2 linked regions of the Cricetulus griseus genome follow. The protein of the gene in region 1 interacts with the protein of each later gene in a biochemical or structural test. Links are inferred from orthologs where the notes say so. Each region holds a gene or a part of one and is shown on either strand. Other genes may lie near its edges.

Region 1 (7,792 bases):
AACGTGTAGTGTGTGGGTTGATTGGTAGCTTTACTTTAAAAGTGGCTAGCAATATTTTGATTTTCTTTTAGTTAAGAGTTATTTAAACGGACTCTTGTTATTGTTCTTTATTTCTTTATTTGCTTCTTTGAGTGTGTGTGTGTGTGTGTGTGTGTGTGTGTGTGATGCATGCAAATGTGCAGAGTGGCCAGAGAACAACTTGCAGGAGCTGATTCTCTCCTTCTACCAAGTGGGTGTCTTGAAAATCAAACTCAGGTGGGCAGGATTGGCAGGAAGTGCCTTTACTTATAAGGCCATCTTGTGGTCCTAAAGTATGATGCTTTGAAATTATATAATTTTTTAAAAGTCCTATGATTAATTCTAAGGACATAGAATGCCCATTGCTAATGTAGTATAATGGACATTTATTCGCAAAATCCTCAAACATTATTATTCCTATCATACAGATAAAGAAACTGAAACAGACTTAAACCATTTTCCTGGAGTCCCAAACCTGCAAATTGAAGAATGAATTTATATAAACCATGCTTTGGAACATTTGCTTAAGATTTATGTAGTGTTGTATTTAAGAAAGCTTACAGATATGAGGAAGTTGATATACTCTCATTTTATGGGGTATAAAATTGTATATGTGGCCTCACAGTCATTCTGACTGCATTAAAAACAACCTGTATCTTCATGATACTAATGAGCTAATTCAACAATATTGATAAGATGCTTGATAACACCCAGGTGTTTTTTAGTTTTAAGTTGTCCTGCCACATTTATTTTGCAACAATGCTGTATTGTGGTGCCAGATGCTAGTGGCACTCATCTTTAGTCCCAGAACTAAGGAGGCAGAGGCAGGTGTTACTCTGAGTTAGAAGTCAGCCTGGTCTAACTCAGGTCTACAGAGTGAGTTTCAGGGTAACCAGGGCTACTCAAAGAAACCCTGTCTCAGAAAACAAACAAACAAACAAACAAAAAAACAACCAATGATACTCCAATAAAAAAAAAAAAAAAAAAAAAAAGCAGGGCAGTGGTGGCTCACACCTTTAATCCCAGCACTTGAGAGGCAAAGGCAGACAGATCTCTGTGAATTCGAGACCAGCATGGTCTACAAGAGCTAGTTCCAGGACAGGCTCCAAAGCCACAGAGAAACCCTGTCTCAAAAACAAAACAAAACAAAAATTGCATTGTGAATTAGCTATCCTTTGAAATCTTTTTTTCCTCTCTTTTTAAATTTAAATTAGAAACAATCTTGTTTTACATATAAATCCCAGTTCCCTCTCCCTCCCATGCCACACACCAACCCCCCAACCCAATCCCTTTCTGCTCTCCAGGGAGGGAGGGTGCAATCTTCCATGGGGAATCTTCAAAGTCTGTTTAATCATTTGAAACAGGGCCAAGCCCCTCTCCCCCCAAGTGTCTAGGCTGAGAGAGCATCCCTCTTGAGTGTAATGGGCTCTCAAAGTCCATTCGTACACTAGGGATAAATACTGATCCACTACCAGAGGCCCCATAGACTGACCAGGCCTCCTAACTGATACCCATGTTCAGGAGGATCTGGGTGAGTCCTATGCTGATTTCCCAGCTATCAGTCTGGGGTCCATGAGCTCCCCCTTGTTCAGGTCAGCTGTTTCTGTGGGTTTCCTCAGCCTGATCTTGACCCCTTTTCTCATCACTCCTCCCTCTCTGCAACTGGATTCCAGGAGTTTGGCTCAGTGCTTAGCTGTGGGTGTCTGCTTCCATCAGCTACTGAATGAAGGGGCTCTAGGGTGGCATATAAGGTAGTCATCAATCTCATTATAGGGGAAGGTTATTTAAGGTAGCCTCTCCACTATTGCTTAGATTTTTTTAGTTGGAGTCATCCTTGTAGATCTCTGGACATTTCCCTAGTGCCAGATTTCTCTTTAAACCTATAATGGCTCCCTCTATTAAGGTATCTCTTTTCTTGCTCTCCTTTATTCTTCCCTCGACTCAATTTTCTTGCTCCCTCATGTCCTCCTCTCCCCTCCTGTTCTCCTCCTCTCTTTCTTACAGCCCCCTCTCCCCTTCCCCCATGCTCCCAATTTGCTCAGAAGATCTTGTCTCTTTTCTCTTCTCTGGGGGGACAATGTATGTCTCTCCTAGGGTCCTCCTTTTTTCCTCAATTCTCTGGAGTTGTGGATTGTAGGTTGGTAATCCTTTGCTTTATGTCTAATATCCATATATGAGTGAGTACATACCATGTTTGTCTTTTTGTGACAGGGTTACCTCACTCAGGATGGTTTCTTCTGGTTCCATCCATTTGCTTGTGAATTTCAAGATTTCGTTGCTTTTTTTTCCCCCCACTGAATAGTACTCCATTGTGTAAATGTACCCCATTTTCTCCATCCATTCTTCAGTTGAGGGACATCTAGGTTGCATCCAGGTTCAGGCTATTACAAATAATGCTGCTATGCACATAGATGAACTGATGTCCTTGTGGTATGAATATGCTTCCTTTGGGTATATGCCTAAGAGTGGAATTGCTGGATCTTGAGGTAAACGGATTCCCTTTTTCCTGAGGAACCATCATACTGATTTCCAAAGTGGCTATACCAGTTTGCACTCTCGCCAGCAATGGAGAAATGTTCCCCTTTCTCCACATCCTCTCCAGGATAAACTGTCATTGGTGTTTTTGATTTTAGCCATTCTCAAAAGTTGTTTTGATTTGCATTTCCCTGATGGCTAAGGATGTTGAGCACTTTCTTAAATGTCTTTCAGCCATTTTAGATTCCTCTATTGAGAATTGTCCACTTAGTTCTGTACCCCACTTTTTAATTGGATTACTTGGTGTTTTGATGACTAGCTTCTTGAATTCTTTGTATATTTTGGAATCTAAGCAATAGTGGAGAGGCTACCTTAAATGCCCTTCCCCCATAATGAGATTGATGACTACCTTATATGCCACCCTAGAGCCTGTAGGATGATGGAAGCAGATTCAGTAGCTGATGGAAGCAGACACCCACAGCCAAGCACTGAGCCAAACTCCTGGAATCCAATTTCAGAGAGGGATGAGTGATGAGCAAAAGGGTCAAGATCAGGCTGAGGAAACCCACAGAAACAGCTGACCTGAACAAGGGGGAGCTCATGGACCCCAGACTGATAGCTGGGAAATCAGCATAGGACTCACCCAGACCCTCCTGAACATGGGTGTCAGCTAGGAGGCCTGGTCAGTCTATGGGGCCTCTGGCAGTGGATCAGTATTTATCCTAGTGTACGAATGGACTTTGGGAAGCCCATTCCACATTAGAGGGATGCTCTCTCAGCCTAGACACTCGGGGGAGGAGGCCCTGTTTCAAATGATATGACAGACTTTGAAGATCCCCATGGAAGGCCTCACTCTCCCTGGGGAGCAGAAGAGGGATGGGTTGGGGGGGCATGGGAGGGAGAGGGAACTGGGACTGATATGTAAAATAAAATTGTTTCTAATTTAAATTTTTAAAAAATTTAGGAAAAAAAGAAATCGGCAAATTCCTAGACACTGTCTATCAAAATTTAATGAAGAGGATATAAACAAAGAGATCTATAACAAGAAAAAAAAATCTCCAAATGAAGAAAAGCCTAGAATTAGATGATTCACTGCCTAATTCTACCAAACCTTTAAAGAAAAGGTAACATCAAGATTCTTCAACATGTGCCATAGAATCGAAGGGGAAGGGACACCAACAAACACTGTCTACAAAGCTGCCATTACTCTGATAGTGAAATTAGATTAGTACATGGTAGAAGAAAGAAAGGAAGGAAGGAAAAACAATTTTTCTGATTAACATACAAACAAGTAGCTCTCTGACATGCCTTTAACAAACATGGCAAAAAAGAAATCAGAAAAGGGGGTTACTATCCACAGTAGCCTCAAACAAACAACAAACCCTAACCCTAACCAAAGAGTTGAAAGACTACTTCAATGCAAACTTTCAAGACAGAAAAAAAAGCAAAAGAACAAAACAAACCAATTTCTTTCATCTTAAAGAGAATAAGAGACAGTTTATTCTGGCGCCATTCTGAGTGACCATGGCCCAGGAATACAGATTTAGGTTACCCCAAACTCTTAACGAAGTTTCATCCACTTTGCAGGAACTGTCCCTGACCATCAAACCCAGTTGCTGTCCAGTCTAATATGCCATAGGCGTCTGGCACAAGCCCAGTGTACCTAGGTTAGTTACCCAAACTGGCCTAAAGAAAGCAGAAAAAGGGGGGGGTGAGGAATGGGACCCCAATTGGTTTTGGCCTGAGTGTTTTTTTTTCTTTTTTTTTTTCTTTTTTCCACACCTACTTGGAAAGCCTGAGAGCCAGCGCATCTGGGAACACTCACCATCCTGGAGCCAGGGACTCATGTAGCTGAGGATGTAGGTGGGGTCCAGAGTCTTCCTGACATAGTCTCTGAACGCTTGCAGATTCTGCCTCTGTTCAGCTGTCATTCTGTGTCTCCCCCCGAGCGATGATCGCCCTGGATCCCCCAAAGCCACTAGAAGTGAGCGCTGTAGGGATTTTCCAAGAAGACACCCAGAGCCACAAGCCGCCAGGGCCTGAGAGAGGAAATCGAAACTGCCCTCGCGGCGCTGGGGGCGGGGATTCAGTTTCCTTTCTGATCCCGTGAGGCGCTGGCCAGGAGGGACCCAAAGGCTCCTTGGCAACAGCCTTGAAGTTTGCGGGCTGCTTTTGGAGTGGTGCGGTTTATATTATAAAGTGCGCACAGTTGAAGTGTACAGTTCAATGAATTCCGAAAAACCGAGACACAGTTACCTCTTCCGACAGATCAGCTGGGTCCTGCAGAAATCTCTGCTTTGTTAGGAAACTATCACCTCTTTTCCAAAGTGACAACACCAGTTTGCATTCCCACTCGGAGTTATAGAACTAAAGCTGACATGCATCTGTTGGATACAGATGGTTTTCTTTCTTTCTCTGTAGCAAATTGATAATTACTGTAGTTTTATCTTCCCATATAGTTAATGATTCTGAACACATGCCTGTCTTTGTTTAGCTATTATACTATCTTTTGAATGTGTATATTGAACATAAAAATTGTATATATTCAAATATCATATTCCTGTTTGCAGCTTACCACTCCAATTTCCTTAAAGGTGTTTTTTGATGAGTATTACATTTATATTAATAAAATATAATTATCAGGGTCTCCTTTCACGGCTTCATGACTTTTTTTTAAAATTTAAATTAGAAACAAGATTGTTTTACTTGTCAATCCCTGTTCCCTCTCCCTCCCCTCCTCACCTGCCCTGCCCTCCATGACTAATTATTTATTTAGCTTTTTTTTGTTTTTTTGTTTGTTTTGTTTTGAGACAGGGTTTCTCTGTGTAGCTTTGGAGCATGTCCTGGCACTCGCTCTGGAGACCAGGCTGGCCTCGAACTCACAGAGATCCGCCTGCCTCTGCCTCCCGAGTGCTGGGATTAAAGGCCTGCGCCACCAACACCCAGTATTTTGCTTTTTTGAAACAGGGTTTCTTGTAACCCTGGCTGCTCTGGAATTTGCTCTGTAGATCCAGCTGGCCTCTGTCTCCCAAGTGTTGGGATTAAAGGCATGTGCCACTCAGTGATTTTATGACTTTTATTAATTTCCATTCTTTTTTTTTTTATGAGAATAGGCAAAGTTTATCACTAACCACGGTTGGAAAGGATCAGAGATGCGGGTATAATTTGCTTTCTGGTTCTGTGATAAAACACTGACCAAGAGTGTTTATTTGGTTTCCTGTTTTCAAGTCCATCATCAAGGGAAGCCAAGGCAGGAACTCAAGGCTTTAGAAACCTGGAGGTTGGGATTGAAACAGAAACCATGGAGGAATACAATTTACTGGCTTGCTTGCGCTGGTTTGCTCAGAATACCTTTCTTATAACCCAGCCTAGGGATTATAGTGTTTGAAGTATGACAGGCACTTCTTCATCAATCAGCAACCAAGATGTTTCAGTACAGACCAGTCTCGTGGAGGCCATTCTCAGTTGGGTTTCCTCGTCTTTTTTTTTTTTTTTTTTTTTTTTTTTTTTTTTTCTTTTTAGAGATTTATTTATTATGTGTAGAAAGTTCGACCTGCATGTATGCCTGCAGGCCAAAAGAGGGCACCAAATCTCATTACAGATGAGATAAGCCACCATGTGGTTGCTGGGAATGAACTCAGGACCGTTGGAAGAGAGCCATCTCTCCAGCCCGAGGTTCCCTCAACTTAAAGTCCAGATTTCTGTCAAGTTGACATAAACTATGACAGATGCCCCCTGTCAGATTAATGACATTTTCTTTTATATTTAAGGTTTTTTTTTCCTTTAGCATGAATGAGTGAATTTTTTCAACTGTCTTTTTCCCCCATCTATTGAGGTGATCATATATTTGTTAACATGCCAAATTTTATTGATTTTATTTTGTTTTGATTGAGACAGGGTTCTATGTAGCCTAAAATGGCCTGAAACTCGCTATATAGCCTAGGATGACCTTTGAACTGTTCCTCCTGCTTCTGCCTCTAGAATGCTAAGATTACAAGTTTGTGCCAACATGCTTGGGTCATTGATGGACTTGTAAATTTAAATAGGCCTAGAATTCCTGGAATAAACCTCTTCTGATGACAATCTTTTCTATATACTTCTGTATTCAATTTGCTAGTATTTTCATACAGTTGGTTATTTTTTTATTTTGTCTGTGTTCATAAAGGATATTGGTCTGCAAGTTTTTGTAACACTTTTTGTGTTAGGATCCTAAGAGTTTGTGTACTAGTATATTTTTTTTCTCCTTAAGTTGAAAGACCAAAAGTTAAAATTAATAAAAGTTTAAAAACTTGGGCCCTAAATCTATACAGAGAAAGGGAACTTCTAATGGTAAAGGAAATTTTGACTCCTTATATCAGGAGTGCTGTAGCTGGTGCCTGAGTCCTGCTCTCAGAGAAGGGGAGGTGATCCTCCACCACTTGGGTCAACATTCCTGTCTGCTAATTGCTGGTCCTAAAGTTGTAAAGATCCCCAGCCCAGAGGATAACTGACAGACCCTGTGACTCTGTAACCTTATGCCTTGTCTTATCTCACTCAAATATATCTTGTTTAAAATATATAGTTACTGCTTTACTCTGTACTTTGTATGACCTTAAGTAACCATGGAAACTCTTGAAATTTGTGGCCTTCAACCTTATGGTCACATAAGATTTTTGGCTGGTTGGCATCTCATTTCCCACCATGGAGTGAGATCCAAGCTGGCCAGCTTGAACAATAAAAAGAAACCTTAGCCAGGCGGTGGTGGTGCATGCCTTTAGTCCCAGCACTCGGGAGGCATAGGCAGGCAGATCTCTGTGAGTTGGAGACCAGCCTGGTCTACAAGCGCTAGTTCCAGGACAGTCTCCAAAACCCACAAAGAAACCCTGTCTCAAAAAACCAAAAAAATAAATAAATAAATAAGATAAAATAAAAAGGAATCTTTTGCTTTTTGCATCAGAGTGTTGACTCCTTGGATTAGTCTCTGGGCTCCCGAAACCTGGCACAACAAAGTATCAACAGAATTTGCCAAAAAGACCATTTGGGCTGGGAGTCATAGTTGTCTGGATTCAATTTCATTATTACATAAAAGGCTATTCATATTTTTTTAAACTTCATCTTGAATCAATCAATTTTGGTAAGTTATGTTTTTTTTTTAAAATGGTAAAATAATTAAATGAGAATGTATTAGACTGGAGCAACTCAAAGGCCCAAAAAAGGAGCCTAGGAAATAGAAGAGGAGACAAGCTCAGCCAATCACAGGTACCAAATAGGCGTTCTTTTTGTTTGTTTTGTTTTTGTTTTTTAAGACAGGGTTTCTCTG
Region 2 (7,755 bases), on another chromosome or scaffold:
ATCCGCCTGCCTCTGCTTCCTGAGTGCTGGGATTAAAAACATGCATCACCACCGCCCAGCACATTAATTTCTTTTTATTTTATGTTTATGAATTCTTTGCCCACCGGTTTGTGTGTATGTACCACATGTGTGCTTGGTGCCGAAGGAAACCACAAGAGGACATCAAATCCCTTAGAATTGGAGATACAGGTGGTTGTGAGCCACTGTGTGGGTGCCGAATATCAACCCAGGTCCTCCGGAAAAGCAGCAAGTGCTTTTAACTGCTGAGCCATTTCTCTGGCCTCCTATTGCACAAGATGTATCATTTATTTATTTAATGTATTTTTTATGGTGCTAGGGATCAAATCCAGAACCTTGTGCATGAACTCTCCTACTAAGCCACATCCCCAGTCTATAAGATACTTTTTATTTTCTCTTATTTTGTTGTTGTTGTTATGTGCATATGGAGAGAGAGAGAGAGAGAGAGAGAGAGAGAATATGCGGGGGGAGGGGCTTGGTATATGTGCACATGGAAAAGGATATCAGGTTTCCTGTTCTGGCATGGCTCCACCTTATTCCCTTGAGACACGGTCTCTCACTGAACCTGGAGTGAGGCCAATCACATTAATCTCATTCCCCCAGCCCTGGCACACTTGTAACCCCAATTCCAAATCACAGTAACATCACTGTGTCTTGCCCCAGGTTCAGGGAGAGACCCTGCCTAGCCTGTGGCTGCACAAGTCAGAAAGTTGCAGCAGTAATCACTGATTTAAAAAAAAAAAAAAAAAAAAAGGCATATGGAATCCTAAGAACCTCTGATAGGGAATTTAACTCATTCAAAGAAATCAGTGAAGGCTTCTCTCCCAGAGAGTGCTGATTTAGGGCATGGCAGAGGCATAGTCATCCCCTAGGTGACGAATAAAGGAAACAAATGTTGTGAAAGGCATTCCTCTAATGAGAAGAAACAAGACATCCTACAGGAACTGACTGGGCTTGGGTGACTAGAGCATAGAGCCAGGAGGTCAGGAGGGCTGTGGTCAGGAGAGGACACAGGCATGGGATCCCTTATGGTTTTGCTGGGGTTTTAATCCCAAACAGACACTGCCATAGTTTGGATCATACATGGCTCCCCAAAGGCCATCTAGTAATGCTTAATCCCCAGGGCGCCATAAATGGGGTAGTGAAACCTTTAGGAGGTGAGCATAGTAAGCTCTTTAGGCCATTGGGGGCATGAGCCACTCCTTGCCTCTACCTCTCTTCTACTCCCCGGCCATGAAGTTCCGAGATTCTGCACACTACATGTTTCTGCCATTGCCAATGGGCGCCTGTAAACAGAGAGCTAAAAACTGATTGTCTCGGGTTAAACAAACGTCATCAGAGTATTTCAAGCAGATGAGTTACATGGTCATATCTGTATGAAGAGAGTTGACTAAAATAGAGTGGAATATTTGCAGGGCTGTGATGACAATCCAGGCAAAAGATCATCATAGGCTTGGACTAGAGAATTCTCATAGGAGCTCAGGGTGAATAGATTTGGAAGATACTTCGGCTGGCTGTGGAACCTCAGTGTGCTGCTAGACCGGTTAGGGTAGAGGAAGTGACATGACTTCCAGGCTTCTGGCTTGTGTATTTGGAAGAATGAGACCAAGGCAGTGATGGAGAATCCCCAGAGGATTGGGGCACTTAACTGTGATGGTTTTGAGAGACCCAAGAGGAAAAGTTGAGATGCAAGAAAGTAGTAGAAGTAGGAGGATCAGGAGTTCAAGGCCAACTTTCTGAGTTCAAGGCCAGCCTAGGCTACAGATCCTGTAGCATAAAACAAAAGCAAATGAAGCAACCTGGAGAGTGAGCACAATGGGGATACTCAGGAGGCTGGTTTAGGAAGACCATGAGTTCATGTTGAAGGCTAGACTGGACAACACAACAAAATCTCATCTCAAAAGGAGAAAGGGGGCATTAGCAAGATGGTTTGGCTTGTAAAGATGCTTGCTGAACAAACCCCACACCCTGAGTTAGATCCCTGGGACCTACAGTGGAAGATGAGAATGGATTCCTGAAAGTTATGCTCTGATCTCCCCTACAAACCCATACCCTCCCCTACTCTCTCTCTCCTCTCCGCTCCCCTACAACACACACACACACTCGCTGATATACACACACAAACTCTTTCTTCCATACAATAATAAAATATTTTTAAAAGGTCACTGAATGGGGCTGGAGAGTTAACTTGGCAGTTAAGAACATTTGTTGCTCTTGTAGAGGACCTGAGTTCAGTTCACAGCACCTACATGATGGCTCATACTCATCTGTAACTTTGATTCCAGGAGGTCCAACACCCTTTCTGACCTCTACAGGCACCAGACATGCACATGGTGTGTATATATATATATATGTAGACAAAATACTCAAACACATAAAATAAATACATCTTTAAAAAAATGTAAAGGTCACTGAAGATAAGGACTTTCAAATCTGTGGGATTTACCAAGAGCTTGCTGGTGATTTTAGAGAGTTGACTGGGTAGAGTGGGAAGGATGGATCCCAGCTTACTCGAAGCTTCCATTAACTCATGTCGAGCATGCCAGATTTCTAATCACCCATATTTGGTAGTAAAGAGAAACATGAGACCTGTTGCATCCCATGTGTCATACTGCTTTAGCTGGAAGCTGTCCTTCACCCTGGCCCCTCCTTTCCCACCTGAACCTACCATGCCCAGGATGCCTAGTTCATTGTCCAATCCAGATCCCGGTCTTGATGTTTGAAGGCTCTTGACAATGTCTACAAGCTGTTGCATCAGTTCTGTCAGCTCCTGGATGACCTCTTCTGTGGTGTTTTTCTGTACTGCCACCTTTAAAAGAGTGAAACTGGGCTTCTGGTTCCCAAAAACTGGACCCAGAACCACCACTCAACAAAGGGAGCTATAAACGCCAAGGTAGCAACATGAAAGAAAACATTTAGAGTGATGGAAAAGAAGAGAGAGACAAGAAACAAATCTTCAGATATACCATGAAATAGATTTTTACAAGAATGCCAAGACTACTTAAAGGCACAAGAAGTATTTTCAACAAATACTAACTAGAAATGTATATCCCTATACCAATCAATGAAGTTAGATCCTTTGGTTTGTTTTTGAGACAGGTTGTCTCTACGTAGTCCTGGCTATATTGGAGCTCTGCACATAGACCAGGCTGGCTTGAAACTCACAGAGATCTGCCTGCCTCTGCCTCCTAAGTGTTGGTATTAAAGGTGTGCACTACCAACGCCTGGCCTGAAGTTAGATTCTTGCCCAATACTATATAGAAAATCAAATGAGAGGCTGGGTGAGAATGCATGCCTGGAACCCCTGGGGCCCTCAGATAAGTCCCCAATTGAAAAGAGTAAAACTGAAAATAGGAACTCAATTGTAAGATAATGTACATTGTAGCAGTAGTTATAATAGTCGAATGTAGAAACAATTTAAATGTTCATTAACAAATAAATTGATTAGAAAGTGATATATCTACATAGATGATATGATAGCCACCTAAAGCAAGGGTGTTCTGATACATGCTGCAACATGAATTCGCCCTGAAAATATTATGGGAATGAAAGAAGTTAGGCATGGGCTGGCTCAGAGGTTAACAGCACTGGCTGCTCTTCAAGAGGTCCTGAGTTCAATTCCCAGCATCCACATGGTGGCTCACAACCATCTGTAATGAGATCTGGTGCCCTCTTCTCTCATGCAGGCAGAATGTGTACGTAGTAAATAAATCTTAAAAGCAAACAAGAAAGAAAGGGAGAGACAGGAGAGAGAGAGAGAGAGAGAGAGAGAGAGAGAGAGAGAGAGAGAGAAAGGGAGAAAGGGAGAGAGGGGAGAGAATGAGGGAAGAAAGAGAGATATACACCCAGGGCAAGATGCCAGGCAGCTACCAGCCAGCTAGAGAAGAGAAGCAGTAAATTAAAATAAACCTTAGGAACGAAAAGTAAAAAGCTTGAAGCAAAAGGAAAAGAAAAAAGGGGGGAACAGGTTAACTTAAAGAGCTAGCCACAAACGAGCCTAAACTAGGCTGAACATTCACAACTAATAAGAAGGCTCCATGTCAAACCCGGCAGTGGTGGCCCACAACTTTAATCCCAGCACTTGGGAGGCAGTGGCAGGTGGATCTCAGTGAACTCAAGGTCAGCCTGGTCTACAAAAAAGAAGTCTCGGAGTCATATTTGGGAGCTGATTGGTGGTTCAAAAGAAAAAGCCTGGTACAGTAGATGAGACATGTGCGGAGGCTGGAGGGACAGGAATCAGGTGTTATAGCTTAGTGGGTACAGAGGTCCTATGTGGCGATAAAATCACTTTGGCAACAGCGGTGACAGATGCACAGTGTTGGAGATATGACAAATGCCATCGAACTGTACACTGAAAAAAATTGTTCAAATGGTTGGCCAGTCATGGTGGCACATGCCTTTAATCCCAGCTCTTGAGAAGCAGGGGCAAGCAGAGCTCTGCAAGTTCAAGTGGTTCACACCTGTAATCCCAGACTTGGAAAGCCAAGGAGGCAGAGATCATTACTCACTTCAGGTTCAAGTCCAGCTTGGTCTACACTAGTTAGATCCTGCCCCGATAAATAGAATTAAACAATGTTAAAATGGCAAATTTTTTAGACATCACAGAAAGGCTGTCGAATAAATGGAAATACACCTCGGTTGGATGGGATTTAGATTTTCAACTATTATGAGATTTTTAACTATCGTTTGTGACCAGACCTTACTATGTAGCTTTGGCTGCTGTGAGGCATGCCCGTCTCAGCCTCCCAAATCCTGGGATTACAGGCGTGCGATCTCCACGCCGGGCATTTCTACTTCTTTATACAAGTCTGAACTTTTCAAAGATACTCCCGAAAACAGATTAAACTGATAAAATCACGTAGCGGAAGAAGAGATCGCGAAGGCAGGAGAGGCCCAAGGGGGCGCACGCGGGCTGCCAGAGCGGTGTGGGCTTCCTACCGGCGGTGGCGCGGGGCGACTCGGCGACCGGGGCGCGGACGCGGTTGCGGGGCCAGCCTCGAGCTCGAGCGCCGCTTGGCGGTACTTGTCCGCCAGGTCCTGCAGCAGCAGGTTCTTGCGCAGCTTTGGCTTCGCCTCGGGGCCCTCCCGGCAGGTGGGGCATGCCCAGGGACGGCCATCCACACCCGCGCGCTGCGTGACCCACAAGCCATTGAGGCACCGGTGGCAAAAGCTGTGGCCGCAGGGCAGCGTGACGGGACAGTCCAGCAGCCCTTGGCAGATAATGCAGCTCAGGTCCTCCTCGCTCAACCACACAGGAATCGAAGTGCCTAGGACTGGGGCCGCCATACTGGGCGGTGGCCTGGAAGGCTCTGGTCTGCCCCACCCACTTTACTAGCTCCGCCTAGCCCACCGTATGCCCCTCCCAGCCGCTCTCATTCTTCCCAGCCTCTAAAAGTGCTTGGCGTTGCTAGCTGGTTGACCTCCAGCCTGGAAAATCATCTGTCAATCCAGTGACTCCCGCTCCTACATCCATAACAAGCAACCCTAACAACTTAAACTATGAAGAGGGCTCGCTACAGGAACTCATTTTAGTGTTGCGCCCAGTAGGTGTCGCATTTTGTTTTCTGAGATGTGCGCAAACAAAACAAAAAAAACGACTGAGTAGCAGTGCAGCGAGGCTGAGGATGAATTCAGATTTGTTTGTTAGTTTTTCGAGATAGGGTTTCTCTGTGTATATCCTTGGCTGTCTTGTAACTCGCTCTCTAGACCAGGCTTGCCTCAAACTCCCAGTGATCTGCCTGCCTCTAGCCTACCCAGTGCTGAGATTAAAGGTGTGCACCAACACCATCTGACTACTTATTTATTTATTTATTTATTTATTTATTTATTTTGGTTTGTTTTGTTTTTCGAGACAGGGTTTCCTGTGTAGCTTTGGAGCCTATCCTGGCACTCGCTCTGGAGACCAGGCTGGCCTCGAACCGACAGAGATCCTCGAGTACTGGGATTAAAGGCATGCGCCACCAACGCCCGGCCTATTTTTTAAAATAACTTTATTTATTTGTTTGTTTACTTATTTATTTATAATGTGCATTGGTGTTTTGCCTGCACATGTGTCTGTCGGGTCCCCTGGAACTGGAGTTACAGACAGTAGTGAGCTGCCATGTGGCTGCTGGGAACTTCACATCGGTCCTCGGAAGAGCAGTGTTCTAAACAGCTGAGCCATCTCTCTAGTCCCCAGAAATTATTTTTAATAATCTCCTAGCAGGGTTTTTAATTGAATTTTTAAAAAAATATTTTATTTTGGGCCGGGCAGTGATGGCGGCACACTCCTTTAATCTCAGCACTCAGAAGGCAAAGGCAGGTGGATCTCTATGACTTCGAGGCCATCCTGGTCTACAGAGCTAGTTCCGGGACAGTCAGAACTACACAAAGAAACCCTGTCTCAAAAAAAAAAGAAAAAAAAAAGAAAAAAAAAAGTAGGAAAAACAAACAACCAAGCAAATGAACAAACAAGCAAAATTCACTTTTTTTACTTTTGAGGAATTATACCAAAAAACTTTTTTAAAAAAAATTTAAATGCACTTTATTTTTAAATAACCTACATGACATGTTTTTTCTTTTCTTTTTTAAATTTATTTACTTATTTTTATTACGTATACAGTATTCTGTCTGCATATTTGCCTGCTCACCAGAAGAGGGCACCAGATCTTATGAAAGATGGTTGTGAGCTACCATGCCGTTGCTGGGAATTGAACTCAGGACTTCTGGAAGAGCAGCCAGTGCTCTTAACCTCTGAGCCACCTTTCCAGCCCCCGACATATTTTTTCTTTTTCTTTCTTTTTTTTTAATATTTTATTTATTATGTATACAGTCTTCTGCTTGCATTCCAGAAGAGGTTACCAGATCTCATTCAAGGTGGTTGTGAGCCACCATATGGTTGCCGGGAATTGCACTCAGGACCTCCGGAAGAGCAGTGCTCTTAACCGCTGAGCCATCTCTCCAGCCCCCATGCTTTTTTCTTAAAAGGAAGAAAGAAAAAGAAAGAAAGAAAGAAAGAAAGAAGGGAGGGAGGGAGGGAGGGAGGAGGGAGGAAGGGAGGGAGGGAGGGAGGGAGGGGGAGGGAAAGTCTCCACCCCAAATAAATCATGGTCAAAATAAAAATCTTAATATGACCTCAGTCCTATTTGTCCTACGTCCTGTTGTTGTGTGGATGGTAAGCAGCAGCCGGTTATGGTGACAGGTGATAGATCCCATTTGTTAACATTTTTCCATCTCTAGACTGTCCTTAAAGAATATCATGACTGGAGTCACACCATCTTCACAGAGTCCAGGAGAGCAACCATGCCATCTGGATTTATGTTCTCGCCAATAAAAAAAAAACAAACAAACTGGTAGTTATTGAAATTATCAAGGATGTGCTTAATTTGCTCTGCGACCCAAGTCATAAAAGGCTTTTACTTTTTCAGGTTTCTGTTCTTCAATTTTGCCTTTGAGTGCTTTCACATAATTTTTGATGTGCTTTTTGTAGGCCTCTTTGGTGAAGCTGGCTTCTTGTAAGTGGTGGTTCCTGACCATAAATATCAACAGTGGTGACTACTGTACCTTCGCCCTCTGGGTCTTCGGCAGAAGCATTTCCACCGATGAGCAAGTCATCATTATTACCCTCTGACCATCTTGCCCTTCACCTCCAGGCACAGCCGGTCCGTGATCTCTCAGATTTTGTAGATGGTGGAGAACAGCTGTCATAGCTGATGAGGTCCGGGGTAGATGATCATGGAGGCGGCTGGGGACAGAAGC

The links. The genes of interacting proteins can lie anywhere in the genome.
Region 2: of the proteins of Ddx58 (region 1) and Rnf135, one has a biochemical effect on the other in vitro, tested with the Homo sapiens proteins (6 studies listed by BioGRID, with this or other methods). The link is inferred for Cricetulus griseus from reciprocal best matches to the Homo sapiens genes RIGI and RNF135.

The regions. Positions count from the first base shown.
Region 1 is NC_048595.1:102,310,540-102,318,331, reverse strand, and holds the start of Ddx58 (antiviral innate immune response receptor RIG-I), read right to left. Parts: upstream 4,570-7,792; 5' UTR 4,425-4,569; coding exon 4,319-4,424; intron 1-4,318.
Region 2 is NC_048600.1:93,648,167-93,655,921, reverse strand, and holds the start of Rnf135 (E3 ubiquitin-protein ligase RNF135), read right to left. Parts: upstream 5,328-7,755; 5' UTR 5,305-5,327; coding exon 4,957-5,304; intron 2,828-4,956; coding exon 2,687-2,827; intron 1-2,686.